4 linked regions of the Elephas maximus indicus genome follow. The protein of the gene in region 1 interacts with the protein of each later gene in a pairwise test. Links are inferred from orthologs where the notes say so. Each region holds a gene or a part of one and is shown in the gene's direction. Other genes may lie near its edges.

The links.
Region 2: the proteins of GRN (region 1) and C22H22orf39 interact in binary tests that used the Homo sapiens proteins (3 or more experiments, as listed by UniProt). The link is inferred for Elephas maximus indicus from reciprocal best matches to the Homo sapiens genes GRN and C22orf39.
Region 3: the proteins of GRN (region 1) and keratin-associated protein 26-1 interact in binary tests that used the Homo sapiens proteins (3 or more experiments, as listed by UniProt). The two-hybrid records come from large-scale screens. The link is inferred for Elephas maximus indicus from reciprocal best matches to the Homo sapiens genes GRN and KRTAP26-1.
Region 4: the proteins of GRN (region 1) and SMAD9 interact in binary tests that used the Homo sapiens proteins (3 or more experiments, as listed by UniProt). The link is inferred for Elephas maximus indicus from reciprocal best matches to the Homo sapiens genes GRN and SMAD9.

What each region holds. Positions count from the first base shown.
Region 1 is NC_064837.1:50,849,316-50,857,308, forward strand, and holds the start of GRN (progranulin), read left to right. Parts: upstream 1-4,982; 5' UTR 4,983-5,059; intron 5,060-5,346; exon of another isoform or gene 5,347-5,444; intron 5,445-5,738; exon of another isoform or gene 5,739-5,914; intron 5,915-7,642; 5' UTR 7,643-7,649; coding exon 7,650-7,787; intron 7,788-7,898; coding exon 7,899-7,993. UniProt on the Homo sapiens protein: Secreted protein that acts as a key regulator of lysosomal function and as a growth factor involved in inflammation, wound healing and cell proliferation. Regulates protein trafficking to lysosomes, and also the activity of lysosomal enzymes.
Region 2 is NC_064840.1:32,679,411-32,686,885, reverse strand, and holds the start of C22H22orf39 (UPF0545 protein C22orf39 homolog), read left to right. Parts: upstream 1-4,456; 5' UTR 4,457-4,497; coding exon 4,498-4,524; intron 4,525-4,692; coding exon 4,693-4,860; intron 4,861-7,212; coding exon 7,213-7,341; 3' UTR 7,342-7,475. Other genes in the region: UFD1 (ubiquitin recognition factor in ER-associated degradation protein 1), read left to right, coding at 1,582-1,656. UniProt on the Homo sapiens protein: Negatively regulates long-term potentiation and modulates adult synaptic plasticity. Stabilizes the interaction of RTN4 isoform A/Nogo-A with its receptors, inhibiting clustering of postsynaptic AMPA receptors at synaptic sites.
Region 3 is NC_064836.1:31,370,068-31,375,461, forward strand, and holds keratin-associated protein 26-1, read left to right. Parts: upstream 1-4,261; coding exon 4,262-4,894; downstream 4,895-5,394. UniProt on the Homo sapiens protein: In the hair cortex, hair keratin intermediate filaments are embedded in an interfilamentous matrix, consisting of hair keratin-associated proteins (KRTAP), which are essential for the formation of a rigid and resistant hair shaft through their extensive disulfide bond cross-linking with abundant cysteine residues of hair keratins.
Region 4 is NC_064832.1:18,130,963-18,138,466, reverse strand, and holds the start of SMAD9 (mothers against decapentaplegic homolog 9), read left to right. Parts: upstream 1-4,500; 5' UTR 4,501-4,506; coding exon 4,507-4,918; intron 4,919-7,504. UniProt on the Homo sapiens protein: Transcriptional modulator activated by BMP (bone morphogenetic proteins) type 1 receptor kinase. SMAD9 is a receptor-regulated SMAD (R-SMAD).

The sequences.
Region 1 (7,993 bases):
GTCTATCATACAACTTTTGCCAATTCAACTGTTTACACCTGTACAACTTATTGACAGCACTTACAATAATCAGCTGTGCAACCCTATCCTTAATCAATGGGATTTTTCCATCACCATAAACTGAAACTCAGTACTACATAAGTGATAACTCCCTCTTTCCCCCTCCCCCCTGCCCCTAGTACCAATAAGGTCTCTATACATTTGTCTTTTCTTGTTTTTTTTATGTAAGGGAGGTCATATAGTATTTGTCCTTTTGTGACTGAGTTTTTTTCACTCAGCATAATGTCTTTAAGCTCCATCCATATTGTAGCATGTGTCAAGACTTTATTTCTCTTACTTGGGATCCGGATCAATTTGGAAGTAACAGGAACAAATTGGGATTAGCATCAGGAAGCACATAGACAAGTTTCCAGGGTAGAGAGCACATCCCTGCCTTCTTCAGTGCCAGACAGCTTCCAATCAGGACAGCTCTCTGCAGCGCAGGCCTTTCTGCCATGCAGGATTTTCTGCTGCCAACTGGCCCAGCTCACAGCCAGGGTAACAGCTTGCTTAGTGTTGCTCTCCTAGCAGATTTCTGCTGTTACCACTGGCTCTGCCACTGGGCCCCTTCTGGGCCTCTTGCCATCTTCAATGTTACAGCGCCTGACCTGTATTATAGCTCTTTTAGGAGGGTCTCCTGGCAGGAACCCCAGGTCCAAACAGCTCCTCCCCAGGATCTTCTTGGTCTTGAGGTTCCTTCCTTGCCTCTCTCCCAAACCCCCCCTGCATTTAGCCTCTTATATAAGCAAACTCCTTGTCAATTTCAAGGCGTGGACCTCCCAGCAGAACCAGGAATCAACCAATCCCCTCGGTGGACCAAAAGTCGTTCAATCTTATTGGGTGGTTTTACACACCACTTTTTTTTTTTTTGACTAGTAAACTAACTGCAAGGTGCAAAATAGACCAATCACAGGGAAGCCTGTGGCCTAACCAATCATTTTTTGGCAGATTACAAACCCAGGGCCAGAAAAGCCATATATAAACCATTACACTGCAGTGACTTTTTGGCGCATTTATATTGAATTGTGTATTTAAAACTAAAAAAAAGAAGGGAGATGGAAGAAGGAAGAGTGAGAGGGGGAAAAAAGAAAGGTAGAAAAGAAGGAAGGAAGAAAGATATAAAATTCTTGGAAGGAGATGGCAGGGGGTCAGGTTCAGGGCCCACCCCTGCCTACCTCTGTCCACCCGGTGCTACATTCTCTACACTAGAGCCAAGCCTCACTTTGGAATCAGGCTGAACACCAGGGCATTCAGGGAAGGGCTGAGTCACCAGACTGGGCAGAAGCCCAGGTGGTTATGCTTGAGGCCCTCACAGCAGGTACAGGCAGGAGAGGAGGGTTGAAGGGGGTTTGCAGAGGTGCCTGGAGAGTTGCAGGCAGGCAATGCTGGTTTTCCCAGGGACCAGGGAACCTGGGGCCAGATGTAGGGCAGGAGTGAACATGTCTGTGGAGATTTCAGGCTGTGGTTTATTTCCTTGTAAGCAAACCCAAAAAAGGACAGAGGTCGAGATACTAACACCCAGGCTGGGCAGGGTGAGGTCATGCAGGGAAGCAGCATGAGTCCTGGGGACCACAAGGCCTGACAAAGCGGGCCTGGGAAGGGCTTAGGGAGGGGCGCAAATGGGGACTGACTCCTTGATGTCATATCTCTTTTACAGGGGACATCTAGTTCAATTGGCATAACAGTTTATAAAGAAAAGGCTCTACATCCTACTTTGGTGAGTAGAGTCTGGTTTCTTAAAAGCTTGTGAGCAGCCATCTAAAATACTTCACTGGTCCCACACCGTCTGGAGCAAGGGAGAATGAAGAAAACCAAAGACACAAGGGAAAGACTACTTCGAAGGACTAATGGATCACAACTACCTCAGTCTCCACCAGACTGAGTCCAGCACAACTAGATTAAAAAATAATAATAATTTATTTGTCATTGTTGTTGAGAATATACATAGCAAAATATACACCAATTCAACAGTTTCTACGCAACTTGGTGACACTGATTACAATCTTCAAGCTGTGCAACCATTCTCACCTTCCTTTTCTGAGTTGTTGCTCCTCCATTAACATAAACTCACTGCCCTCTAAGGTTCCTATGGGATCTTTCCAGTTGCTGCTGTCAATTCGATCTCATATAAATAGTTCTTAAAAGAGCATAATGCCCAAGGCAGACGTTTTTTACTAGTTAAGTTAAACTATTGTTTGGTTTTAAGAAAACTTGGGGGATATTTTGATTTAAATTTTAAGGATTATCTCAGGGCAATAGTTTTGAGATTCATCTAGCTTCCATGGCTCCAGAAAGTCTGGATTCCATGAGAGTTTGAAATTCTGTTCTGCATTTTATCCGTTTTGATCAAGGTCCCCTGGAGGTGTTCTTGAGGAATGTGGTAGCTGGCCCACAGCCCTGGAGGATGGAGTGGGGCTGGGGACTGTATCCTCTCCACTGAAGTGCCCAAGGCTCATTTCATCCACTTTGTCAAGTGGTTTAGTAAACGTATTTCACACTTCCTTGCCTTAGTAATCAGAGTAACTGCATATGATTTAAACTTTTCTGAATGCTCTGGCTGATCCCTTGACTGTCAATTACTGTCCTTTAGGAGGGATGCCCTTACGGTCGCCAGTCCTACAGGGCTGTTTTGGCCCTGCATTCAATGTCCCACATCTGGTGTGCTTTTGAGTTCTTCAGTCTGCTTTTCAGCGGTTTTGTCCCCTTAAGCCTTTAATCCTTGCTAAACGCCAAGTGCCTGCCTCTAGAAACTTCAACATATCCCCTCATCTTTCTGTTGCTGGGAAATCAGATAGTCACATTTATTAAAAGTGTATGAAATCAAAGGGCCTATGCACGTGGAAAACTTGGGACTCCCTTATGGAAAAAGTTTGTGATCCTTTACGACAGGGTTTCTCAACCTCAGCACTATGGACATTTTGGGCCAGATTATTCTTCACCGTGGAGGACTGTTCTGTGCATTGTAGGATAGTTAGCAGCATCCCTGACCTCTACCTACTAGATGCCAGTACTGCCCCCCCAAATTGTCCTCTGGGGACAAAATTACTGCTTTAGAGATTGAATTTGTGATGTCTGTTTCAGTCACTTTGGAGGTTTTTTCTCCTGCATGCATTTTCTCTGGTTCTGTGTAGTTGTGATGCATAGATTCATTTATTAATTTGCTTAACATTTCATGAAGCTCAAGTGCGTGGTGTATTCAATAGAAACATAAGCCATACTCCCTAACCTCAGGATACACGGGAAGAAAATACACACAAATAAGTCACCAGGGTGCAAAGTAGTCCTAGTTTAGCAGCAGGAGCCTTATCCACTTTCTGGGCCCTTTCTAGCCCCAGGCTAAGAACCCCTGTAACACAATTCCACAACTCTGTCACTCCTTCCCTACCTAGACTCCCACCACCCCTATTTGTCTCCCTGCCCCAGCCCCGAGTGCCTGGGTGTCTCCAACGTTAAGTGCTCTACTACCAGCCAAAAGGTTTGAGGTCTGAACCCACCCAGAGGCACCTCAGGAGACAGGCCTATTGATCTGCCTCTGAAAGGTCACAGCCTTGAAAACCCTAGAGAGCACAGTCCTACTCTGCACACGTGGAGTCACCAGAGTATGAATTGACTCGATGATAACAACCACCTTACCTCAAGCCCTCTCCTCAGCTTGTAGTGCCCTCTGTCCACTCTGCCTCTGTCCACTGCCCTTCCTCCAAGGCCCAGCACTTTCCCTGGGCCTCTCTTCTGGCCCATCTCCCCATCAGCCACTGCTGCCTGTGCCAGGCCACTGGCACTGAGCAGTTCTGGCTCCTGTCACTGGCTAATCTGTTCTGTGTATAAATTTTCTCTCCTTACCTGTCATGTCAATTTCTGGAAGGCAGGGCCTACTGAAACTAAGAAGTACTTCCACTTCCCACCCCCAGCCCAGCCTTGTTTCAGGCACCCAGCAGCTACTCAAGGCCACTTGCACTGAACAGGGCATTCAACCTGCCTATGTCTGCCCTTCCCATCTAGTGTTCTGATGCTCTTCCCAAGACCGCCCCAACCCCTGGCCTCCAGTCATTTCTACAGCCTCTCCCCTAAAAACCAGTTGCCACCAAGTTGATTCCAACTCATGGTGATCCTGTGTGTGTGCAGAGTATAGCTGTATTCCATAGGGTTTTTAAGGTTTTGTGATCTTTCGGAAGCAGACAGCCAGGCTTTTCTTCACAGGTGCCTCTAGGTGTGTTCCAACTTCCAACCTTTGTGGTTCTGAACTGTTTACACCACCCAGGGACTCCTAGCCCCTCCCCACCTGTCAGTTAAAATCCTCCCAGACACAGCTCAAGAAGGAACTCCCAAAGTGGAATTAATCTCTTCTTCCCCACCCTGTGGCAAACCTACTACCTCTTCATATTCACAATATATAGCACCTGGCACACGACCTCGTACATTTAAATTAGATTTATTCCGATTTGTTCTCCCTTCCTTATCCGCGGCCAGCCGTGAGCGTCTTGAAAAAAAGGCCTGGGGGCTGCTTGTCCTTATCCTCACAACCCTCCTCAACCCCCTGTGGGCCCTGAATCCCTAGCATTTAATTAACTGCTGAATAGAGTAGAAAGGGGATGCAACCCGACATCCTGTAAACGCCTTTGAGCAAAACCCCTGAGGGGTAGCCCCCTTGGCTGTTAACATCCCCAGACACGTTGCCTCCTTGAGGCTAACTCTCCCAGGAGCCCAGAGGGGTGGAGGTAGGAAGATCTGCAAGCTGGCTCTGGACGGCAGTCTGAGAAGGGCCAGAGCGTCACATGATTCTCCAATCACATGATCTGCAGGGATGGGGGGTGGGGAGAGATAGGAAGGGGGAGTGAATTGGGTTGAAAAGAAACACAGTATTCCAGACTGGCCCTGCCTCCACGTCGACAAATAACCAATGGGAGGGAGGCATGCCGGCCGCTGGCCAATGGACACTGAGGTGGGCGGGTCCTCGGGCGGAGGGGCTGTAGTGCGCGAGCCGACCGGCTGCTGCTGCCAGGGAGCGCGGATCCGGACGCAGGTAAGAGGGTGGCGGTGCACACCTCTCACTGGCTCCTTCCCAGGGGTCCGGCCGGGGACTGGTGAGCTTGAGGTGCTCCTGGAGTCTCAGCCGGGAGACGAAGGGAGATTTGCGTCCAGAAACTCCTTTGAGGGTTTCTGATGCACTGGAGGGAATTTTAGGGGAGAGTAGGTGGTAACTGCAGTGACCCCATTAGAAGGGGGCTTTTTCCGTGCCAGGATCCCCGGAAGCTGCAGCCCCTTTCCTCAAAGCAGGTACCACCCTATTCTAGAGCCATCTGTTGACAGGAGCCGGCTCCTTCCTCTTTTGGTGGTGGCGGTGGAGTGGTCCCCGTGGCTGCCCCGGGGAACTGGGAGCAGGACTTGAGACCCTGGCCGCCCCAAAGGTAGGGACTTGGGAGTGGTGACCGAGCCCCTGTGTTGTGTCGACTTATAGCCACCCTATAGGACAGAGTAGAACTGCCACACAAGGTTTCCAGGGAGTGGCTGGTGGACTCGAACTATTGACCTTTTGGTTAGCAGCCAAACGCACCACCAGGGCTCCTGGGTTTTGTCTGGCTCTTCCTTGCTTCCTCACGTGGGGGTAGGACGAGCTAACTTCCGCCTCTCCCAGCCACTTTTTCCTCCTCAGTTGCAAATGGATTGGCTCACTTTTGGGGAATCTTCCTCTCTGCCACTAGGAGTTGGGGGGTGCCCCCTAGTGGAAGATGACGGAGCTGGGGGCTTGAAGACGCTCCTGTCCTTTCTGTTGTGGAAGTGTGCGTTGGGGGTGACAGGCCGCCGCTAGGAACCCTACTGAGGAGCAGCCCGAGGCGGGGACTGGGCCTCCTTCTCCCCCGTCTCTAGTTCTGTGTGTGTATGTATTCAATAGAGATTTGAACTATACACCCTAACCTAAGGATACACAGGAAGGAAAATAAACATAAATCACCGGGGTCCAGAACAAGCATAGATCTGTGCAGACAACCCTCTGGCCTCAGCCAGGGCAGCAGGATAGGCAGCTGAGGAGTGAGTTTAGACACCCCCACCCCTGAAGCAGGTGGGGCCAGCTGCAGAGGCTTTTCCTGGGAGCGGTGGTGGTGGAGGAGAGGGAGAAAGGGCAGCATCCCATACCAGTCTTCATCCTCATCTGTTCTTTGACCTGGGGGAGGGGGCACCTGAGGAAAACCAGGTGAGGGAGTGACTGGGTGGGAGAGATTTCCTGATCCACTCACCTTTTGAGGCTCTCACAATCTGTTGGTGACAATTCCAGGACTAGGACCCAAGTGCAGTTTCCACAAAACCCCTGTTCCCTTTTCTTCCCTGCCCCTTCCACCTGCTCAGGAAATGCCTCTGTCCCCCTCCCTTTGCTTGGACCCCAGGCCTCTGTTTGGGGGGGTTCATTCCTGAGCCCTGCCTGGGGCATCACTTGTGAAAAGAACCAGGTCCAATAAGCTGTGCAGCCATCAAAACCTGTCGTCGCCATGACCTGACGTACAGCAGCGGCACCATACTTAACATCTCTGAGCCTCAGTTTCCTCCTTTGAAAAGTAAAGATAATAATTATTATTTTGGGTGGTTATTGCAAAGACGAAATAAAATAGGATGTTATAATTGGTTCTCAAGGGGCACAACCCACACACTGGGCAAGTCAGTGCCTCCCAGGCCTGCCCCGTTGCTCTCGTCAGGCCGTGGAGCTTGGGGGAAGAGTTGTTTAGGAAGTGAGAGGCTTAGTTCCTCCTGCTGACTCAAGTCGAGGCAGGTGAGGGCCGAGAGGCCCTCATGGATCCCATGTGGTCTCTTTTTGTATGTGATTGAGTTTTGGCGCTCAGGGTAGAGGAGAAGCAGGGGCAAGTGGTTGGTATGTTTGGGGAGTCTGAGAGGGCCCTGGTGGTATTGGGGGGCTCTCAAAGAACAGGTGTCTCAAAGGCCGCCCCCCAGCCTTGTGTCTCCCTCCATGGGTGTAGGGGTAGGGGAGAGTCAGCTGGCCTCTGGGAAAAGAAGCCCAGACTCCACTGTCCACCACACTTCCCTTTTTTCAACTTTCTCAACCCTGTGGTTTCCCATGTCATCATGTGACCACCCCACACACGCAGGCCGTAGCGGGGTACATGTGTATGCACACCACCAGGCTGGGAGGTATCTGGAAGAGCTGGCTGAGGACGAGGGGCCGTGGAGCTCTCTCCTGCCACCCCCATCCCTGTTTTCTCCTGTGGCTACTGGTGCTCACCACACCCCACCCTACCCCACCCAGGTGGCCTGTGTCCCCACAGATCAGACCCACAAAAACCACACATCCTCCTGACTGTCACATGCATACGTCTCTGCCACACGCACAGACTCAGGTGTTAGGCCATGTCGGGGACTCAGATTCACACATATACTCATGTCAGCATTGATGCTCATGGAGACACACACACACAGGTGACATGTAGAAGTGGAATCTCGGACCCCACATCTTTCTTCCTACTTGGACAGGGAGTTGTTGGGGAGGCTCAGGTAGGCCTGGGCCTGGGCCTGGGCCTGAGCCTGTGAATGGCCTCAGAATCAAGGGTGGCATGGGCTTAAGCTAATGAGTTCCCAAATGCTGGTTGACATTTTGCAGGTGGACCATGTGGACCCTGGTGAGCTGGGTGGCCTTGGTGGCAGGGCTGGTGGATGGAACACAGTGCCCAGATGGTCAGCTCTGCCCTGTGGCCTGCTGCCTGGACCCAGGGGGAGCCAGCTACAGCTGCTGCAACCCCATTCTGGTGAGCACCCCTCAGCCCAGGCGGAAGCTGGGAGCCTAAGTTTCCCCAGGTTGGCCTGAGGACAAAGCCAGGCATGGACCCTTTGGTTTATCCTCGTCCCTCTCTTCCCAGGACACATGGCCCTCTCTGTCCACAACATGGAGCAGGCATCTGGGTATACCCTGCCAGACTGATGCCCACTGCTCTGCTGGCTCTTCCTGCCTCCT
Region 2 (7,475 bases), on another chromosome or scaffold:
AGGGAAAACAGAGAAATCATCAGGGAAGCAATTTCCCTGAACCAGAGGGCAGGCTTTTGCTGCTCGGAAGGGTCCCTGAGTGCTCAGCATGGGTGAAAATGGCCCTATTGGGGCAGGGGAGCCACTCCTGAAGAGGTTTCACGCAGATTGAGAATGGCATCTGCCTCTTAGTAGGACACAGAAATCTAGAAGATTCTGAGGGGAAATTTTTCCAACCTAACATTCTGTACCCACCAACCCATCAGTGAAGTGTGAGAGTATAAAAAAGATATTTTAAGACACCTTAAGATCTCATAAAAAGATACTCCTTGTGCTGCCTTTCTCAGTAGGGTGCTGGAGGATGTACCCCATTAAGATAAAGAAATAAGAAAGGCACAGAATCCAGAAAACAGGGAGTCCCCACTGCCATGTGCAGTGCTAGAGAATGGCCAGTGCAGGTTAGGCTGGCCAAAGGCCTCAGGATCCTGCTGGAATACTGCTGTGATTGAACAGATGGAGTAGAGAGAAGCCAAACACCATTGTTGACACCAGGAAAACTGGAAGGTTGTGCAGGAAAGGAAGACTAAACAACTGGGCTATGGCTCACATTTACAGAATTAGAACAAGCGAAGTGCTGTATTTGGATGGGGAGGGGACAGAATGAGTGTTGGGGTGCAGGTAGTCAGGGTATGCATTGGAGAGAGCAGAACCCTCTTCTTCCGGAGAGAAAAGTCAATAGGTAATGTGTAAGACTAGCAATAAAAGCATGTGAAAATGGGTCATTGTGCCAAGATACCTGCTGTTTTCAAAGGATCAGAATAATAAGTCCCCTCTGCTGGTAGGAGAATAGCTTAGTAGAATGTTTTTGAGTGCTGATTAGTCAGTATATATTAAAATCCTTGAAAATATGTATACCCGTTTACCCAAGAATTCCATCTAGGAATCCACCCCACTTCTAGGAAGAGCCAGGTCTGTGTACAGACCCATGAGGCTGCTCACCACAGCGATTTAAAATACAGAAAGCCTGGGCATGAGGGGGCCACGCAGTGATATAAGACTGGTTCACACGTGATGGGAGTCTGTGTAGACTTTAGAAGGTATTAGATAAGAAACTACAGTTTATATAGTCATAGACCGAAAAGTGACTGGAAAGCCTTTTTTAGGGTAGTGGCCTAGTGGTTAAGAGCTTGGCTGCTAACCAAAAGGTTGGCAGTTCGATTCCACCGGGCACTCCTTGGAAACCCTATGGGGCAGTTCTACTCTGTCCTACGTGGTTGCTGTGAGTCAGAATCAACTTAATGGCAACAGGGTTTAGAGTGATTTTTATTTTCTTGGTGTATCCTATGTTTTCTTTACATTGGAAATGTAGTGCTTTTGTAAAACGATACACTTTTAACCTGAGAATAAAGGCTGTGGCAGACTCATAGTGATTCTTTGGTGTTCTCAATGTAGTGAACTATGACTTGTATTTATATTTAAAATATTTTTCATTATGAGTAACGGGAAAGAAAAATGACTGGATGGTACAGGAGTCAACAGAATAGAACATTATTATAAATTTCCAAGGACTTTCTGAAAACGGTATTTTCTTTGCACACCTAGGATGAAGCTGGAGGCAGATTCGTTGCATTTTCTGGAGAAGGACAGTCATTGCGTAAAAAGGGAAGAAAGCCATAAGTCGGGGCTGTTGCCTGATTGGAAAATAAAATAATTGATTGCAACGTATTGGCTTTTAGTTACTGGCTCTGACAAGGATGAGACTATTGCCAGAAAACGCTCTGTTACTTAAGGTTTGTTTAGAGTTACCTAGAATTATCAAGTTGGAGCTGGAAGAGCAACAGCAGGACTTCATAGTTGTGTGCTTAATATTGGGAAAGAGAAAGCTGCCTCTGAGGTCCAGTAGTCGGTCACCTCCTTGCCAGTCTATGCTCAGCCCTCGGGGCTGCCACTGGCTCAGTGGGACCAGCGTTCCCTCATTCCTGATAAAGCCAGTGGAGGGATTGCCTTGCTCTAACTTGAGATGTTCTTTTTTTTTTTCTATGTAGCCTTTCTTTTTTGTTCCAGGTCCATTGCTTAAGATATTGCTTTTGGCCTAGAATATCTGCTACCCTGGCTGCAATTTATATATTTGAGAAAGGCTGTTTCTATTTTTATTTTACATATTGATTTTTTTTTTTTTTTTTTTTAAGTACCATTCCTCAGAAGGAAAACCTGATTTGAACAAAGTACCCACTTTTATTTTGGTTTCATGTGGAAGTAACTTTGGCTCCTGAATGAACCTGTTCTATAGAAAAATAACTTCATGTTGAAGCACAAATGTGAATATTATTATAAACAATAAAGGTATGCTCTTTTCCCTTCTCCCCCATCCTCACTCCCAATTTTACTGTATTAAATTATCCACAGCTCTGCTGGTCTGTCTTTATTTTTTATTAGTATTAATTTGGTCTGAGATCTTCACCTTCTATAATGTGAGATCTTTTGACATGCTAATCTAACTATTTTAATCTATTCCTTGAAAATAATTCTAAATGAAGAATTTAAAATAAAAACAGGCAATGATTAAAACCTGGACTGTCTCTAATGTAAATGTTTATAACAACGTGATTGGTGGCTGGGTCACTGACTAGGAAGGGGAGGAAGGCCTGCCGACGAGTGCCCCACTTTCCATCCTGCCTTTAGAAAAGTGCCCCTCTGGGGTTTCTTCTGGATAATGGAGAGAGAGAGGAGGCTCTGTGACCCTGGGGGTAGGGATGGTGAGGCCCAGCAGGGTCCCTTCTGTGTGCCAGGGCTTATCATGCTTATAGGCTGAAGCCTGACTTTGACAGGGCTTCTCCAACACTCAGAAGAGAAAAAGATGACCCCTCCAGGGTGGTAGCCTCAGGATCTATCCAGGTATCCTCAGAGAGAACTTGCATCAACAAATGTCAGTGACCAGGGCTTGGACCCATGGCCCAAATGGTCACCACAGAGGTCAGGACCAGTGGTGATGGATGTGGTTTTGGAAGACATGAATTATTGCGGTGACCTACCTGAAGAAAAAGAAAAAAAGAATTTTTTTTTTTTTTTCTGACCTACCTGACCCTCCATTAAAAGAGCCTCCGTTTCCCTAGCAGACATGGGCGCCTTCTTTGGTGGATTGGCAGCCACCATCTGCAGGATTAGATTGGCTAACAAATTGTAATTATATGCATAATGAAGAATGTTAACAGTAAGCCATAGGCCTTGGCTTTTGTCATCTATAAGTAACACCTATTGTGTATGCAGTGAAACTCCATCTGGCTCTTGGCTGGTAGTGTGGAGAACACTGCCCTTCCTGGGCCAGGGGGTAGACCCAGTTGTTGGGCCTTCTGATGGAAGCATTAAGGATATACACAGTGGGGTCATCTGGATTAGAAGTCAAGGTCATTTACTGCACCCTGGCCTATTTTTTTTTTTTTTTTTTTGGCCTATAGTCTTCCTAGACAGTGTTCCTCCAAGCTTGGGCCATGGGTCAGCCACCTCAGTGGTGGGCCCATTGGTAAAACTGGTGGCTTTCTGGGCCCCTCCTCCAGTGAGTCTGACCTACTCTTACTCCTGGGGTGGCTCCAGCAACCTAGCTCTAAGGGACTCCCCAGCAAATGATTCTATCAGCAGAAGCTGGAGAACCACCACATCCAGATACGAGGTATTGCAGAGAGTTGGTGGAGGCCCACTGGCTTCTTTATTGCCTCTTTGCACCTCCCCTGTTTGTAAACGTTGTCTCTGCGTGGCTTCAAAACAGCCTACAATCTTATCAGACATAAAAGCTCCTCCAGGTTTGTACGGCTCTGCTTCTCACTCCGTGCTAGACACAGACTCCCTGAGTTTGATTAGGCTGTTGCTATGCTCAGAGCGCTCAGCCCCGGTTCCCTCCACGAAGTTACTCTGTGCCCTAAGCCCCCTTCACCTCCTCCCCCATACTATGCTGAGCTAACCCAGGTTATTTTGTGACTTCACCTCAGTCCTCTTGACTGGATGCGAAGGGTGAGACCACTGCTGTCCCAGAACCTGGTGGTTCCTGACACGGGGTTGATGTTCACTATTTGCTTAGGAAAATTAACCGGGCATTTGAGATTCCTGAAAATATTGAAGCTGTTGAAACTAACCGGCCTGAATCGTGCGGCTTCATAAACAGTCAACTTAACGTGGTTGGCTGCAGCCTGGGACACCCACCGACACCAGGCGGGCAGCTGCAGTCATCACTCCCGCCCACCTCCAGCCGCTGCGGTAACACTAGGTCCGGGGCCAGACTTCCTGCCCCTGTAGAGGATACCTGACCGCCTCTCCCCGGCCCCGCCCGCGCGCACCACAGCCCCAGGCTTTTATTGGCTGCCCAATGCGGACCTCCTGTTTATTGGCCCCTCTTTAGGAGGTTAGAACCCGCCATATCTAGGAATTCATTGGTTCTTTTATTTGCCAATCGTGTGGCTGCCGACTTTATTCAGTTTTCATTGGTTGACGGGTTAAGAAGGCGGGGTTTGGTGGTTTTGCTTAGACATGGCCGACGGCGGCGGGAACTGGCGGGTAAGCGTGGTCTGTGACCCGAATCCGTAGCGGCCTCGTCGGACCAGGCGACCATATTAACCGAACCCTCACTGGGCTGGGTGGGACGGGGTCGGGGGATGGGCAGCACAGCGGCCTCTGGGGTGGGGCGTGCCTCCGGCAGCTCTCAGGCGTCGCCTCTCGCCGCAGCCGCCCCGACCCTGCGAAGCCTACCGCGCCGAGTGGAAACTCTGCCGCAGCGCAAGGCACCTTCTGCATCACTATTACGTCCACGGCGAGCGGCCGGCCTGCGACCAGTGGCTCCGCGACCTGGCCAGCTGCCACGAGTGGGAGAAACGCCGCAGCGCCGAGGCCCAGGTACCCTGGGGAGGCCAGCGGGGACACGTTGCCAGGATGTCGGGGTAGAGAGCAAGCATGCGGGCAGGCGCGCGTCCTGCGGATATGTGTAGAGCCCCCTGCATGTGCCAAGCCCTCCCCTCGACCCAGGCTCCGGTGACCCTGTGGAGAGGAGGCCTACTGGGCCCTTCCCCTCCTTAAGCTTCCCTTCTTTTGAGAAATGCCAAAAACAGGTATATCAACTGGACTTTCAGACGGTGTTAAGGACAATGAAGGAGACAAGTTAGGAGGAGTTGTAGAGTGACTTGGAGAGGGAGGAGGGGCCACCTGCAAGTGTTGGGGCCATCAGCAGGCCTTCAGAGGAGGCCATATTGCTGAATCCTGAATGACCTGGAGCTAGCGTTCACCCAGCCCTAGGTGACAAGACTGAGGAACAGAAAGAAGGCCATGGTGCTTGGAGCGGAGGGAGGGAGGGCTGTGGAGGGTAGAGGATGAGGGTGGAGAGCTACCAGGGACCTGATGTGTCTTGATAAAGAATTTAGATTCTGTTCTGGAGGTTGTTCTAGTTGTGCATTCATTCAGCAGATATTTATCACTGGCTTACTTCATGGCAGGTGTTCTTGGGGTTAGCGGAGTGAAGAGAACAGCCACTGCCCCCCTGGCACCCACACTCTAGTGGTGCCTCAGGCCAGTGGTGGGAGTGTGGATGGAGAGAAGGGGTGAGGGTGCAGTGCTTATGGGGAGTGCCTAGGGGAAGGGGAGCCAGCAGGACTGGGGACAGCTTCAACTTTGTTAAGTGTACGTGATTATTTTGGAACAGACAAGCTGATGTGGAAACCAAGGTGCTATTTAACAGGAAGCGATGACAAATCCATAATAAGTGAAAGAAAACTGGGAAAGATAGTTTGCAGTCTATATGGCAAGAGATTGACAACTTAATAGGTATAAAAAAGGAGCTGTTATATATCGAAAGGAAAAGTGGGGATGATTTCAGTATAGAAAAGTGGACAAAGGGCATGAAGAAGCAGTTCATGAAAAAAGAAAGCCAAATGGCCAGACACACAAGTTAAAAGGACAGTAGCAGTGTTTTTTGCCCAGTGGAATGTAGAAGTGTTGGTAGCGGTTTGGAGAGTCAGGAGTACTTGCGCATTGTTCCTGGGCGTCTCAACTGGAACACCCTCTCTGGAGGACAGTTAATCTGACTAAATAGGTTAAAAGCATAACTTTTGGCTCCAGTTTTACTTCTGGAAGTCTGTTCTAGGGAAAGAGTTGGACAACAGTGCACAGTTAAAAGCTTAAAGTGCTCACTGTGCCATTGTTTGTGATTGTGCAAAAACTGAAACCAACCTAATTCCACTAGTAGACATTTGACTACATAAGTACTCCTACATGGCGGAGTGCCATGTAGCCTTTAAACACAGGATAGTAATATACTGTGGTGTGGAAAATTACCTACAGTGTATCATTTAGTGAAAAAAAAGCAGGAAATACAGCAACCAACAGAGTATTATTCCACCCTTAGAGAAACACAGGATTACTCTAAAATTTGGGCATAGAAAGGTGTAGGGAAGCTGTTAACTGTCACCTGAGATGGAGGCCTGGGAGCCTTTCACACCCTACTTTGTGCTTCTGTTTTCTAAACAAGAACAAAAGCATTCTATCTGAGACAATAGGGCTTGAGGGGAGAGACAAGTAGGCAGGTGGAGAAGATGAACTTCTATGTGTAAAGAGCGTAGTGCCTGGCACATGCCAGGGGCCCACTTTGTGTGACAGCACTGCCCTTGTGCTTGTTTTTGAGAGAGAGTGGATGAAGAGAAGCTCCCACGTGTGGAGTGGGACCTGTTGTGCGCATCTGTGCCCAGTGACCTGTTGCCTGATTCCTTCCCTAACCTTCCAAGGAGTTCTGGGGATGTCTCTTATCTCATCTTTCTTTGTTCAGCCAATTGCTCCTCTCGGCAGGTTCCCACAGCCACTCTTTCAGACTTTTTTATCTTCTCACAGTTCAACGTCTCCAGTTTCTGTCTTTGCAGGTGAACCTGCCCCACGTTCACTAGGTGAACCGAAGCCAGGGAGCCTTGAGGCCCAGGAGATGTTTTAAATTTTATTCAAATGATGGTGATTTACACAGTAGTTTTTACAGTGGCTTGTGAAAAAGAATGATCTAGATGTATGTGTGCTAATATGGAACAATTGCGAAGACATGTTAGGTGGAAGCAACCATACTGCAGAACAGTATGCATGCTACACTCTTGTTTCTCTATCTGTGTTTGGAAGGGTGCTGAGGAGCAGGGAAATACAGGGGCCACGTGAGGGCACTCAGGCCCACTGAGGCCCAGCCATGAGGCAGAAGTGACTGGGGTCTCATTTACACAGCAATCCCTCTGTGAGAGCGAGCGGGCCCGAGTCCAGGCTGCACGGAAGCACGCCCTGGTGTGGTCCCTGAGGCGGAGCCCCCCTGCAGACTGGCACCTCCCTCTGCCCCAGGATGAGAAAGACGAGTGAGGAGTGGTCCTGCTCGCCACCTCTCCAGCTGCCTCCGCCTGTCTAAAATGGACCTGTCTTGCGACCTAAGGACTATGACTGGCCCGTCATAGTGGGTCCCTGCGAGCTCCACCTGGCCTAGAACATGGAGCAGG
Region 3 (5,394 bases), on another chromosome or scaffold:
AATAAAATCTCAACTACTTCCTTGATGGTTGTATGTCTTTCAGAATATGAATCTAAGTTTAGTGGCTATGGCTCCCCTCTAAGAATCCTCTACTGAAAGACTGTTCCATTATTTTTTTTCTGTCTCTGTATTTTTTGCATAAAAGGAGCCCTGCTGCTCAGTGGTTAGAGTGAACAACTGCTAACTGAAAGATTGGTAGTTCAAAACCACCAGCGTTCTGCTGGAGAAAGATGTGGCAGCCTGCTTGGAAACCCTATGGGGTCGCTATGAGTTGGTATCAACTCAACAGCAGTGGGTTTGGTTTTTTGGTTTTCAGTATACTTTTTGCATAGCCCATAGATGCAGAGGTGTATCTGAGGAAAATGGAGCCTATGCAAGCACTAATTTTGCCCCTGTCCAAACATCTGACACCCATCTTCTAGATAACTTTATCATAATATCAGCTCAAAAATACAAGTCAAGCTCATTAACCTTTTACTTAACACATTATGGCACTACATGAAAATGACAACTATTCCTTGCTTTCACTCGTGAAAACTGATCTATGATGTGCTCAAAGTCATTTCTTTCTGTTTCTTCTCCATCTCAGCGTAGCAAGATCACACAGTTTGCCTTGACTCATGGAGCCTCTCAAATACCAAACTACTATTTTCAACTTGCTGAATGATCTCTCACAGCTGGCGAAGGAAACTACTGAGATGGTTAATAGAAACTGCTCAGTGGTGCCACCCCCTCCACATGGCACCCAGGGCACATGCCATGCCTGCCATACCTTGGATACACCTCTGCCTGAAGTCTCATCCTCTTCCCCAAACGGCCGGTTGTTTCTTCCCATTCTTAAGAATTAATTTCAGATGCCAACTTTTAGGTAATGCCAATGAGTTCTGTTTGTCCTCCTCTGTACCCCTCTTAGAGAATTTATGCTCCTGTATTATCACACACACAAGGTTGAACGTGTCTGGAGAGCAGAAGCCAGTTATATCTGGGTATCATCCCCAGCATCTTTCGCAATGTTTTACACATCCTTGATGTTCAATAAACATCTGCTGAATGAATGACATGCCTGTCAGTTATGGTCATACCCTCACTATGTATCACGCTCTGAGGATTCTTTGTATCCAACAGAGAGAGATTAGGGGTTCTATAGAGTAAGAGAGGGAAGGACCTTTGGCTCATTAAAGAAAAAGCAATAAAGTAGGTAAACCTGTAGTTTACAGGTACCTGCAACGATGTAGGTGTCAGGCTCTTGCTTATAATAGAAAAGAGCAGGCATACTAATGAGATACCTGTTGTGCCCAAATAAACCCTTCCATGTTAGTGGCATAGTCACTCTTCAGTAACGTCAACTCAACATGTATTATTTTAAGGTAGAACTTATATTTGGGGGACTTCATTTTCTGAAATGCTGTAGATATTTTCAAAGTGTTACTTATCAATAATAAGAAAAAATAGGGTCTCATGGATGATACTCTTTGGGAGGGAGTAGAGATGCAAAAAATAAGATAACAACAACAAGAACAGATTATCTTCAGTGTTTTGCAGTTTACATTAATTTTGTATTATATCTCAATATATTTAATCCTAAAAATAAAACTAAAAAATAGATATTATTAATATTCCCATTTTTTCCCAGAAATAATACTGGTTGGTAATTGGGGTTCAGGGAGATTACGCAAATTGTCCAGGGTCACACAGCTAGTAAATGACAGTATCAATACATTCAACATAGTGCCATATTTCATACTGAAAGGAAAAATGTTTCATTGGTCAAGAAGCCTTTATTCAAAGGTTTCGCTTAATATCAATTACTACACCTTTCTAAATTTCAAATTTTCGCATAGGAACACTTGGAAGAGTAAAATGTACTATATAAATTTGTGAGGATAAAGTGACATTTCACGCATGGCTGTGAACACCACAAGGTCTATCACATAGTAGGCAATAAATAAATGCTGGTTCCCTCTTCTGCAGTCTTTCTCCTCATAGAAAAACACTCGTATATATACAAGCACCAACTGTCGTCGAGGCAACCCTGACTCATGACTACCTATGTGTGCCAGAGTAAAACTACTCCTCAGGGTTTTCAATGGCTGAATTTTTGGAAGTAGATCACCAGGCCTTTCTTCTGGGGTGCCTCTGGGTGGGCTCATAATTCCAACCTTTAGATTAGCAATTGAGTGTGCTAATCATTTGTATCACCCAGGGACTCCATGCCTACATATATTGTTGTTGTTAGCTGCCATTGAGCTGGCTCCCACTCTGGCTACCTTTTGTGTAACATAACGAAATGTTTCCTGTTCCTGCACCATCTTCATGATCTTTGGCGTGTTTGAGTCCATTGTACTACATATATAATACGTATACATACAGAGACATACTTACACGGGTGTCAAAATGATATAGGTCTTAGGCTCTTGCTTATCATAGAAAAGAGCAGGCATAAAGTATTGATGCACAATTTTGACAATCATTCAGTTAAAGATGGCTTTACCTATTACTAACGCCATTCAGCTGATGCAACCAGGATTTCACAAGAAGGCTCCATCAGCTGGGTACAAACAGTGTCAGACAGGTGACGAAGGCCTGGGGCTATTGAAACACATTAGATACAAATCATGAAAGGGTAATAGCCTCCAAACTAAAATACCGAGATAATTTCCACATGTTGGGACAGAACCTCAGAGACTATAATTTTCTCTTCATCTTTTTACCTCTGGTAGCAAAATCAGCCTGTATTGCCTCATAGGCAATTCATAAATTCTTCCCCCTCTGGACTGAGAAAGACTTGATAAGAGTAGGTGGGTTCAATGAACACTAAAGTAGAAGAAATTTTGTAACATAAATTGAATTTTTAGCCAAAGGGAATTGGAACTGAGATTCAGCAGATAATTTAAGTTCACGCTAAAGTAGCCACCGTTGTCCCTGGATTTGCAGGTATATGGAAAACAGAGTTGGACCATTGAAAATAAGCCAAATCATGCATTTTAAAACCTCCTTGCCATACAATTTATTCCCAAGTAGCCTCCAAAATACTCATACTTAGGAAGGCTATACTTTTAGCCTGTTGCTATTGCCTGTAAAAAAAAAAAAAAAAAATACAGTTAGAACACCTCTTTTTAAATTAATGTCAGGACCAATGTAGGAAGCAAAACCAAATCCATGTCTTAATCATTATATCTTATTTTTGACCATAAACAATAATTTGCAGCTGGAATATAAGTACACCATAAAATGAATAAGCTTAAAAAATCACAAAAAAAATCATGTCACCAAACTTTCTTTAAAGAGTTCTGCTTATCTGATTTTGCTCAGGGCAGGGTCAGTAATTGTAAATGAGCCCAACTATTATTTATATTAAACAAAATATTGCAAACAAAAACCAAGCTTACAGCTTGACTTAGCATTTTTTTTAATTGAACTGAATAGATTGAACACAAATTTTGTGAATCAAGATGTTTTGATGGAAAGTCACTTCCTACCAGGATTCTGAAATAAAACAAAAAACTGGGCACATGGACTTTTTCTATATTATAAAAACAAACAAACACACTGCTGTTAGGTGAATTCTGACTCATACCGACCCTGTAGGACTGAGTAGCGCTGCCCCATAGGGTTTCCAAGGAGTAGCTGGTGGATTCAAACTGCTGACCTTTTGGTTACCAGCCGAGCTCTTAACCACGGCCCTGCCAGGGCACCATATCATAGTACTTTCAAGCTCTTTCTGCTCTAAACCTTATAGGTTATAGGATTGCCCACTTTCTTTTTCAACACATTTGCTTCCAAGTTACTTACTTCAGCAATTTCCAAAATGAATAGAATTCTCCTTGTCGGAGAAACAATTGCCACTGTTTCAAAGATGTTTCCTACAATTTTTAAAGACTATTCTAAGACAGGAATTCTGGGAATGTTTGTCCAGTGGTGGTTATCATTGGAATAAGTATATGGCCTCTAAAATGTCTGTTTTCTTTGGATGATTTAAGAAGGAAAGATTCTATTAAAATTTTAGCTACACTGGTTTATAGCCATTCTTTATCGAGGGGAAGCTTTGCAAGAAACATTGGGTTTTATGGGAGGGGGTAGTGCCAATTTCTGAGCTATAATGATGAGTTCTGATGCAGACTTCATACAACAAGGAAGAGAGTCTGAATACAGAACCACCGCCTGCTAGGGATATATAAGGGTCAAACCAAGTGAGGGCACAGTCAAACTCGAGACACTTACTTCTTTCTACTCAACCACAGCCTGCTCTAGAAACCTCACTATGTCTTGCCACAACTACTGCTCTGGAAACTATAGCTCAGGATCCCTCAGGAATATCTGCCATATTCCTGTCACCTCCTCCAGTGCCCTCTGCTCTACCAATGTGAGCTATGGAGATGCCTTCTGCCTACCCAGCAGCTGTCAAGGCAGTTCCTGGCTCCTGGACAACTGCCAAGAGACCTGCAGTGAACCAACCAGCTGCCAGCCAGCCAACTGCGAGCCCAGCAACTCTTGCTGCCCTTCCACTGCTTACTATGTGCCCAGACCCTGCCAAGGAACCAGCTTTCTTCCTGTATCTTCTTCCATCTCAAGCTCTTGCTTCCCAGTCTCCTGTAGACCTCTGAGCTATGTGCCCAGTGGCTGCCGTCCATTGAGTCCTCTGCTCTACAACAGCCATCTCTTGGGCTGTGCACCCATTGGCTATCGACCACTGAACTGTTTGCCCAACAGCTGCCGACCCCTGAGCCTCCTCACTTACGGATGCCAACCCTTGAGTGGTTTGGCCTGTGGTTTGCAACCATTTAGCATTGTGTCCAGCAGCCTCAGACCCCTGAGGCCTCTCTCCAGTGGTTGCCAACCTCTTGCCCATGTTTTCAGTACTTGTCGTCCGTCTTGCTCTGCACTGGGGTACTAGTAGCCTGCTCATTCCAGAGAACAACGATGCTGAGAAACCTGGACCGAAATTCACACTCTGGGGACTTTTTGCTTCTTTATTCGTAGTGACAGTTTTTTCTCAGTTTTACTCTGCCTGATCAAATGCAAGTTGCTCATTTCATAATCTTTATTCTAGTCATTTCTCTTTGACATAAAATAATTGGTTTATGTGCTGTTCAATGTCACTCAGGTGTGGAAAAATTATTTGGTTCGTATTGTAATAAATTAGATTAAGTCACAATTATGTATCTGGGTCATCATTGTGTCTTTGCTTATTTTATCGTAACACAGAAATTACCAACCTGCACTGCTTATAAAACAAGTGAGTAGGACAGGTGACACACAACCTTACGTTCTTACCTGACAGCAGGGGAATAGCTCGATGGCTTATTCCTCAAGCTACCTTCTAGATCTCTGAGCCTATGAACTTGAAAAATGGAAAAAGACCTTGGTGGAATTTATTTTGAGAAGGCAAGACTA
Region 4 (7,504 bases), on another chromosome or scaffold:
ATGAATATGGAATAACCTTCATGAATCTGAAATTGTGCCATATGAGCAAATAGAGATTATTAACATAGACAAGACCCTGAGGCCTTAGTGTTATTGAGATTCCAGGTTTGATTCATTTTTTCATACTTTCTTTTTTATTAAAAAATATACCTTTTATATGAACAAGTATAGAGAATAATGTATTAGCCATCCATGGATTTTGTATTTTCTTCTTTACTCAGAAGCTACTGTGATGAATTTAGTGTTTATCCCTCTGAGAATCTGCATTTGACCCCTCAGGGCCTCCCGCAATCCAAAGGCTTGTTTGATAGATCAGGAGCTGTGTTTCAGAGACACCTTAGGCTGTTACAATGATTTGAAATGCAGCAGCGAGATCAGACTGCAGAGTACCAGTCTGACTGTAGATGAGACCCTAGATTCTGAACCATCTGAAATTTCCCCAAGGGACAAAGGGAAGTGGTTATTCCTGAAAGCCTCTCCTCATGGCTGAATCTTAGAAATATTGGCTGTTATCACTGTTGTTGTTAGCTGCTGTCAAGTTGGCCCCGACTCATGGTGACTTCATGCACAATGGGATCAGACCATTGTGATCCATAGAGTTGGGTTTTTTTTTCCCCCAGAGATTTTTTTTTTTACAATTGTAGCACATGAAAATCCATGGAGTTTTCATTGACTGATCTTTGGAAGTTGATCGCCAGCCCTTTCTTCTTAGTCCCTTTTAGTCTGTAAGTTCCACTGAAACCTCTTCAGCATCATAGCAACATGCAAGCCTTCAGGGACAAATGAGTGGTGGCAGCTCATGAGGTGCATTGGCTGGGAATCAAACTGCGGTCTCCTGCATGAAAGGCAAGAGTTGTACCACTAGCCACCACTGCATCCTCGGCCCCAATACAATTTGAGAAAATATATGGTTTAGAGATACTGTTTCAAATACACACTAACAACTAAATTTTGCCTTGTGATGCTGAACATGCATACATTCACTCACTCATGCAAAACACAAACCTCTGAATGAAAAACTTTAATGAAATATTTATTCTTTTTATGTTTGCTGCTCTTCGATATAGTCTTCTGTTTTTACAGAAGTCATTTTGGCCCAGTAAATTGATTTCACATGCCATTAATAGATGGGAACCCACAGTTTAAAAAACAACCATGGTTTAGAGAATTGTTACTTGTTTCATGGAGCAACAGCTTTTTGAAAGGAATGTTTAATTCTGCTAAACATTTTGTTTTGTTTTGTTTAAATTTTTATTGTGCTTTAAGTGAAAGTTTACAAATCAAGTCAGTTTCTCATACAAAACTTTATATACACCTTGCTATATACTCCTAGTTGCTCTCCCCCTGAGATAGCACACTCCTTTCCACTCTTTATTTTCCTGTCCATTTGGCTAGCTTCTGACCCCCTCTGCCCTCTCATCTTCCATGCAGACAGGAGCTGCCCACATAATCTCATGTGTCTACTTGATCCAAGAAGTTCACTCCTCACCAACATCACTCTCTGTCCCATAGTCCAGTCCAATCCCTGTCTGAAGAGTTGGCTTTGGGAATGCTTCCTGTCTTGGGCTAACAGAAGGTCTGGGGACCATGACCTCCCAGGTCCTTCCAGTCTCAGTCAGACCATAAAGTTTGGTCTTTTTAGGAGAATTTGGGGTCTGTATCCCACTGTTCTGCTCCCTCAGGGGTTCTCTATTGTGTTCCCTGTCAGGGCAGTCATCAGTTGTGGTCGAGCACCATCTAGTTCTCCTGGTCTCTTTTTTTCTTTTTTTGAGAAGGCTGATGTAATCTCTGGTTTATGTGGCCCTTTCTGTCTCTTGGGCTGGTAATTACCTTATGTCTTTGGTGTTCTTTCTCCTTTGCTTCAGGTGGGTTGAGACAAATTGATGCATCATAGATGGCCGTGCGCTAGTGTTTAAGACCCCAGATGCCATTCTTCTGCTAAACATTTTTATAAAGAACTTTTCTTTACTACTGACCTAAGTTTAAAGATTTATGCCACAGTTTACTAATAACAAATCCCATGTGAAACTAAGCAGAATTTAAAACATTTTTTGGCTTCAGATTATTCTGTGTCATGCTACTTCCTGTTCTCCAAACTCTGTAAACCCCCTTTTAGCACTGTTGCTTTAAGGCAGCCTGTCTAGATTAAGTAAGCAGAGCTTAGACAAAAGACTTAATTATATAAATTCATGATTGTCAAGCCACAAAATCAACGTTTCCAAATTGAGGGTAAGCCAAACTGCTGAATGAGAAAGAACAACTTTCAAGTCCTCAAGTCTTCTCTTCATCATAGTTTACCTCTCTATACAAAGCTAAATAAAGTCCATACGAGGCCTAAAGTGATATAAATTTTGGTTCATACTTATTAAATGTAATCAATTTTTGTGTAACCAGGCTTCCGGCCTCCTCACAGGAGGTGCCTGATAATGATAATAATAGCAAGTGTTTATATAGCACCTTCTTTAGGAAACCCTGGTGGCGTAGTGGTTAAGTGCTATGGCTGCTAACCAAAGGGTCAGCAGTTCAAATCCACCAGGCGCTCCTTGGAAACTCTATAGGGCAGTTCTGCTCTGTCCTGTAGGGTCACTATGAGTCAGAATCGACTCGACGGCACTGGGTTCAGTTTTTTATTTTTTTTTTTAAGAAGAAGTTTGTATAAAATTACGTTTAATGCATATTAAACAAGAGACTGTTAGAGATTATGAGCTAGATTGATTCCAGGATACTAAAATGAGTCAGTTTCCTCCAAAGTGTTACCAACAGCCATTTTAAACATTGATGAGGTACCTGGTTTCTAAAATCTGGAAGGAACAGGTTTTATTTAAGCCAACTACTTCACAGGAGAGGAAATGCCACTATATCTCAGAAAATTTAAATAAGACTATGAAAAAACTAGAAAAGAATGTCTCCTTGGGATAAGAGGGCAAAGAAGAACTCAACACATTTTCAGGGAGAACAACAAATGTGACAGCAGTAGTAATGTGTATGCAGTTAGGTATGCATGTGACTATGACTGACTTCTGGAAAAGCAATTCGCAAATTTTTTTTGGTGTCATGTCTTTGAGAACTCAAAGAGTTTGCTTATGCAGGTTATATCTATCATTTTTTTCTGTCTTAGAAATTAAAACTGAGAATTTAAACTACTTGATTCATCTAAAAATCATAATAAACTCACTACATATTACATAAATAATTTGTTTTCAAAATAACCCTATGTTTTCCCTAAAATGTATTAAAAATCATGTCATTGTTTTACATCTTTGCAAATCTCTTTAATATCTGCTTTAATAGGTTTTTAATAGGTGACAACTAGATTCTCATATCTGCTTCTGCATATAGATGTCTTCTGCTAGATAGGTGTCATCAAGTTGACACCAACTCATGGTCACCTTATGCACAACTAAAGGAGAACATTGCCCAGACCTGTGTCATCCTCACCATCACTGGCATGTTCAATTCCATCTTGGCGGCTATTGTGCCAATCCATCTCACTGAGGATCTCCAGTGCCCTCATTGGCCCTCTACTTTACCAAACATGATGTCCTCCTCCAGTGATTGATCCCTCCTGATGACAAGCAAGTTGGACAATGGTCTGTTGTGATCCATAAGACTTCATTGGCTAATTTTCAGAAGTAGATCGCCAGCCTCACACAGATACGTAATTAGAAAAGAGAGAAACTAACAGCCCCACTGAAAGGCTCTCAGGACTTCCCAAGGCCCTTAGATCACACCTGGAGAACTACGTTCGAAGAATGTATATTAGCAGTCACTAATCCCTGAGTGGTGAGATTATTACTAATCCTAATTTTTTTACTTTCCACTTATATATATATTTTCCACAATGAAAATGGATTACTTGTGCAAACTAAATGAGAAAAAAAGAAGAAAGAGCAAGTTGTTTAAGGAAGCCCTAGAAACCGAGAAAGAGAGCAGTTTGTACTTGGGAAACCTGGCTGGGCAAGGAGTGACTGCCATTTCTTAAATAGAAAAATGGCTTCATGAAAGTTTTTTGGCGAGTAACTGGATTAGAATTGGAAGAGAGGGGAAGGAGAGAAGCTATTTCAGAGGTGTTGAAGTAAGCTATCTAGGTGAGTGGTAAGTTCTCAGGTGTTGATAGAAATGGAGACAAAGGGACAAAATCTGAAAGACGTTTTGAAAACAAAGTTACCAAGACTTGGACATGGTACACAAAGGAGAGGGAAGAGTCAAAGAAGACTACAGTTGTTTCCTTCTTTATGTTCAACTTTAACCTTCTTTGAAAATTATACTGATTAATCTAATTAAAGTCTTGTCTTGTTTTTTCCAGAGTTACTGCTATTCAAGGGCTTAGGAGAAAGTCAACACACTTGCCAACTTAAATCAGTGACACTTGCATCCAGAAGAACAGAAAGATTTGTGCAATGACACTGCTTGAGAGTTGCTTGCTGATTCTTTCTGCCGGGCCCTGTGGGCCCTGAGGGTGGTCTCTCATGTTTCTGTGCACTGGATGCCATTAGTCCACCCCTTATGCATTCCAGCACCCCCATCAGCTCTCTGTTCTCCTTCACCAGCCCAGCAGTAAAGAGACTGCTAGGCTGGAAACAAGGAGATGAAGAGGAAAAGTGGGCAGAGAAGGCGGTAGACTCTTTAGTGAAGAAATTAAAGAAGAAGAAAGGAGCCATGGATGAGCTGGAGAGGGCCCTCAGCTGTCCGGGGCAGCCCAGCAAGTGTGTCACAATTCCCCGGTCATTGGATGGACGGCTGCAGGTGTCCCACCGCAAGGGTTTGCCCCATGTCATTTATTGCCGAGTGTGGCGTTGGCCTGATCTTCAGTCCCACCATGAGTTGAAGCCACTGGAGTGCTGTGAATTCCCATTTGGCTCGAAGCAGAAAGAGGTGTGCATTAACCCTTATCACTACCGCAGAGTGGAGACTCCAGGTGAGGTTTCTTCCTGATGTTGTAGCTTATTAAAAAGTTAAACTGATATGTCTCAGTTGATGGAAAATGACAGGACACCAGAAAGGGGCTTCCTCAACCCCAAAAGAGAAAGAAGAGAGGGAGGTTCACGTTTATTGAACTCATCAAAATGTTGTAATCAGAAAAATCTAAGAAAAGAGATATTTTAATTTCAGCATGCATGAAAGCTTTGTGGAGTCCCTGGGTGGTGGGTTAAGTGCTAGACTACTAATGGAGAGGTTTATGGTTTGGTTACCTAGTACTGCTGTAACAGAAACACCACAAGTGGGTGGTTTTGGCAAACAGAAATTTATTCTCTCACAGTTTAGGAGGCTAGAAGTCTGAAATCAGGGTGCTGGCTCTAGGGGAAGGCTTTACCTATCTTCCCCTTGTCTGGGAGCTTCTCAGCACAGAGATCCCAGATCAGAAGAACACGCTCCACCCTTGGCTCTTCTTGCTTGGTAGTAATAAGGTCCTTCTCATCTCTGCTCAGCTCTGTCTTTTATATCACAAAAGAGATTGACTCAAGATACAGCTTAATCCTGTAGATTGTATTGTATCCTACCTCTTTAACGTAATTACCTCTAATCCTGCATCATTAATAGCATAGAGGTTAGAATTTATAACACATAAAATTATATTAGATCACAAAATCATGGACAACCACACAATACTGGGAATCATGGCCTACCCAAGTTGACACACATTTTGCGGGGGACACAATTCAATCCATACCAGGTGCCTGGTGATCTAATTTCAAAAGATCACAGCCACTGAAAACCCTATGGAGCACAGTTCTACTCTGACACACATGGGGTCGCCATGGGTTGGAGTCAACTCAAAGGCATCTGGTTCAGTTTTGGATTTTTTGATAAGCTTTGTGTGATTTTGAAAAATGCAGTTTATTTTGATGTGTTTTGGAGGAACCACCATAATCTTTTCACAGTTCTTGGGGCCTTGAAAGGCCTAACATGGCTTTGTCTAAAAAACATTGTCCCCTCCCCTAAGTTCACTTCACTGAACTAAACTGAAGAAGGCTTTCTGGCTATTACTCTCCTCAAACTCAGTAGAGTGGAAGGTATCTCATATCTGGACCTGAAAACAACCAATGCTAGAAATCATTCCAGTGTTGAAAACAAAGGGGGTCAGAGAAAGATTGGCAGTTGGTCTTAAGCGTAGTTTTAGAAATCGTATTCTAAAGCTCTTCACACATTTATGTGTGTGTATGTATCTTCATTTCCCCCCTTTTTGAACAAGTCTGATGTTTGTTCCTTCACACTGGTTACAACAGAGTTTTCCTGCATTTCTCTTTGTATAGAGCATTCCTTGTTGCATTCCCATCAGGAATACAGTTTTTATGAGAGCTCCCTCTCCATCATCCAGGAAACCAAAAGACTGACCCAGTAGCTCAGGAACTTGCCTGTGTCCAGTTAAAAGATAGTCCTGTGTAGGTAGGCTCTTGTAGGAATTTAGCCTGCTGCTTGTCTCAAGAGTTCACATAACTTAAAGCAATATTAAGTAGGTGATTCATGACCAGCTAAAGTCTTAACTATGTGAACTCTGAGGCTCCTAAATCTTGTGTCATGTTATAAAACTGTTATCAAGACAGTCATCTTGATCACACAATGTATTACAGCCATTTTATCCAGAGGACTGAGACCCCATGTGAGAACGTGAGTGAGGCAGTGGTGGTTCAGTGACAGAGTTCTCACCTTCCATGTGGGAGACCAGAGTTGGTTTCCCAGCCAGTGCACCTCATGTACAGCCACCACCCATCTGTCACTGGAGGCTTGCATGTTGCTGTGATGCTGAGCAGGTTTCAGTGGCCCTTCCAGGCTAAGATGGACTATAAAGAAAGGCCTGGCGATCTGCTTCTGAAAATTAGCCAATAAAAACTATGGATCACAGCAGTCTGACCTGCAACTGATCATGGGGATGGCGCAGGACCAGGCAGCTTTTCATTCCACCGTGCGTGGTGTCAACATGAGTCAGGGGCTGATGAGACAGCAGCTAATAATAAACAAAACAATGAGAATGTGATTAGAAGGTCCCACACCTGGCAAATCTAATTCATTTGCCCTAGATCATACAGGTTTTTGTTTTCTTTCCTTCATGACTGCTTTGCTCTGGGTTCTCCATACATCCTTAAAAAAAAATCCATAATGTCTGAGTTTATGATAGAAATGACTTTATTCCTTTTTTGTTGGTATGTTTCAAAGATTTGAACTATATTAAGCATCCAAAATACACCTAATGAAAAAATGATTATTAAGAAATCACTTTTCAATGACAACAAAATAAATTAAAAAAGAAATCACTTCTTTGTTTCTGAATAATGTAGTTGAAAAATGCATCTTGTGAAATGTATCTGGTTTTTCCTTTGAATACTCTAAAACTAAAGGATTATTTGATCATTTTGTTTTCCATATATGTAAAGTTCTTTAAGAAATGAGAGTGTGAATGTTTTATGCATGGCAGATTTCACATCATCATAGTTTAGGCTCGAGTTTCCAAATTCAAAGATGGTAAAGATTATTTTAAGGTAATATTTAAGCCACACAGGTTTTT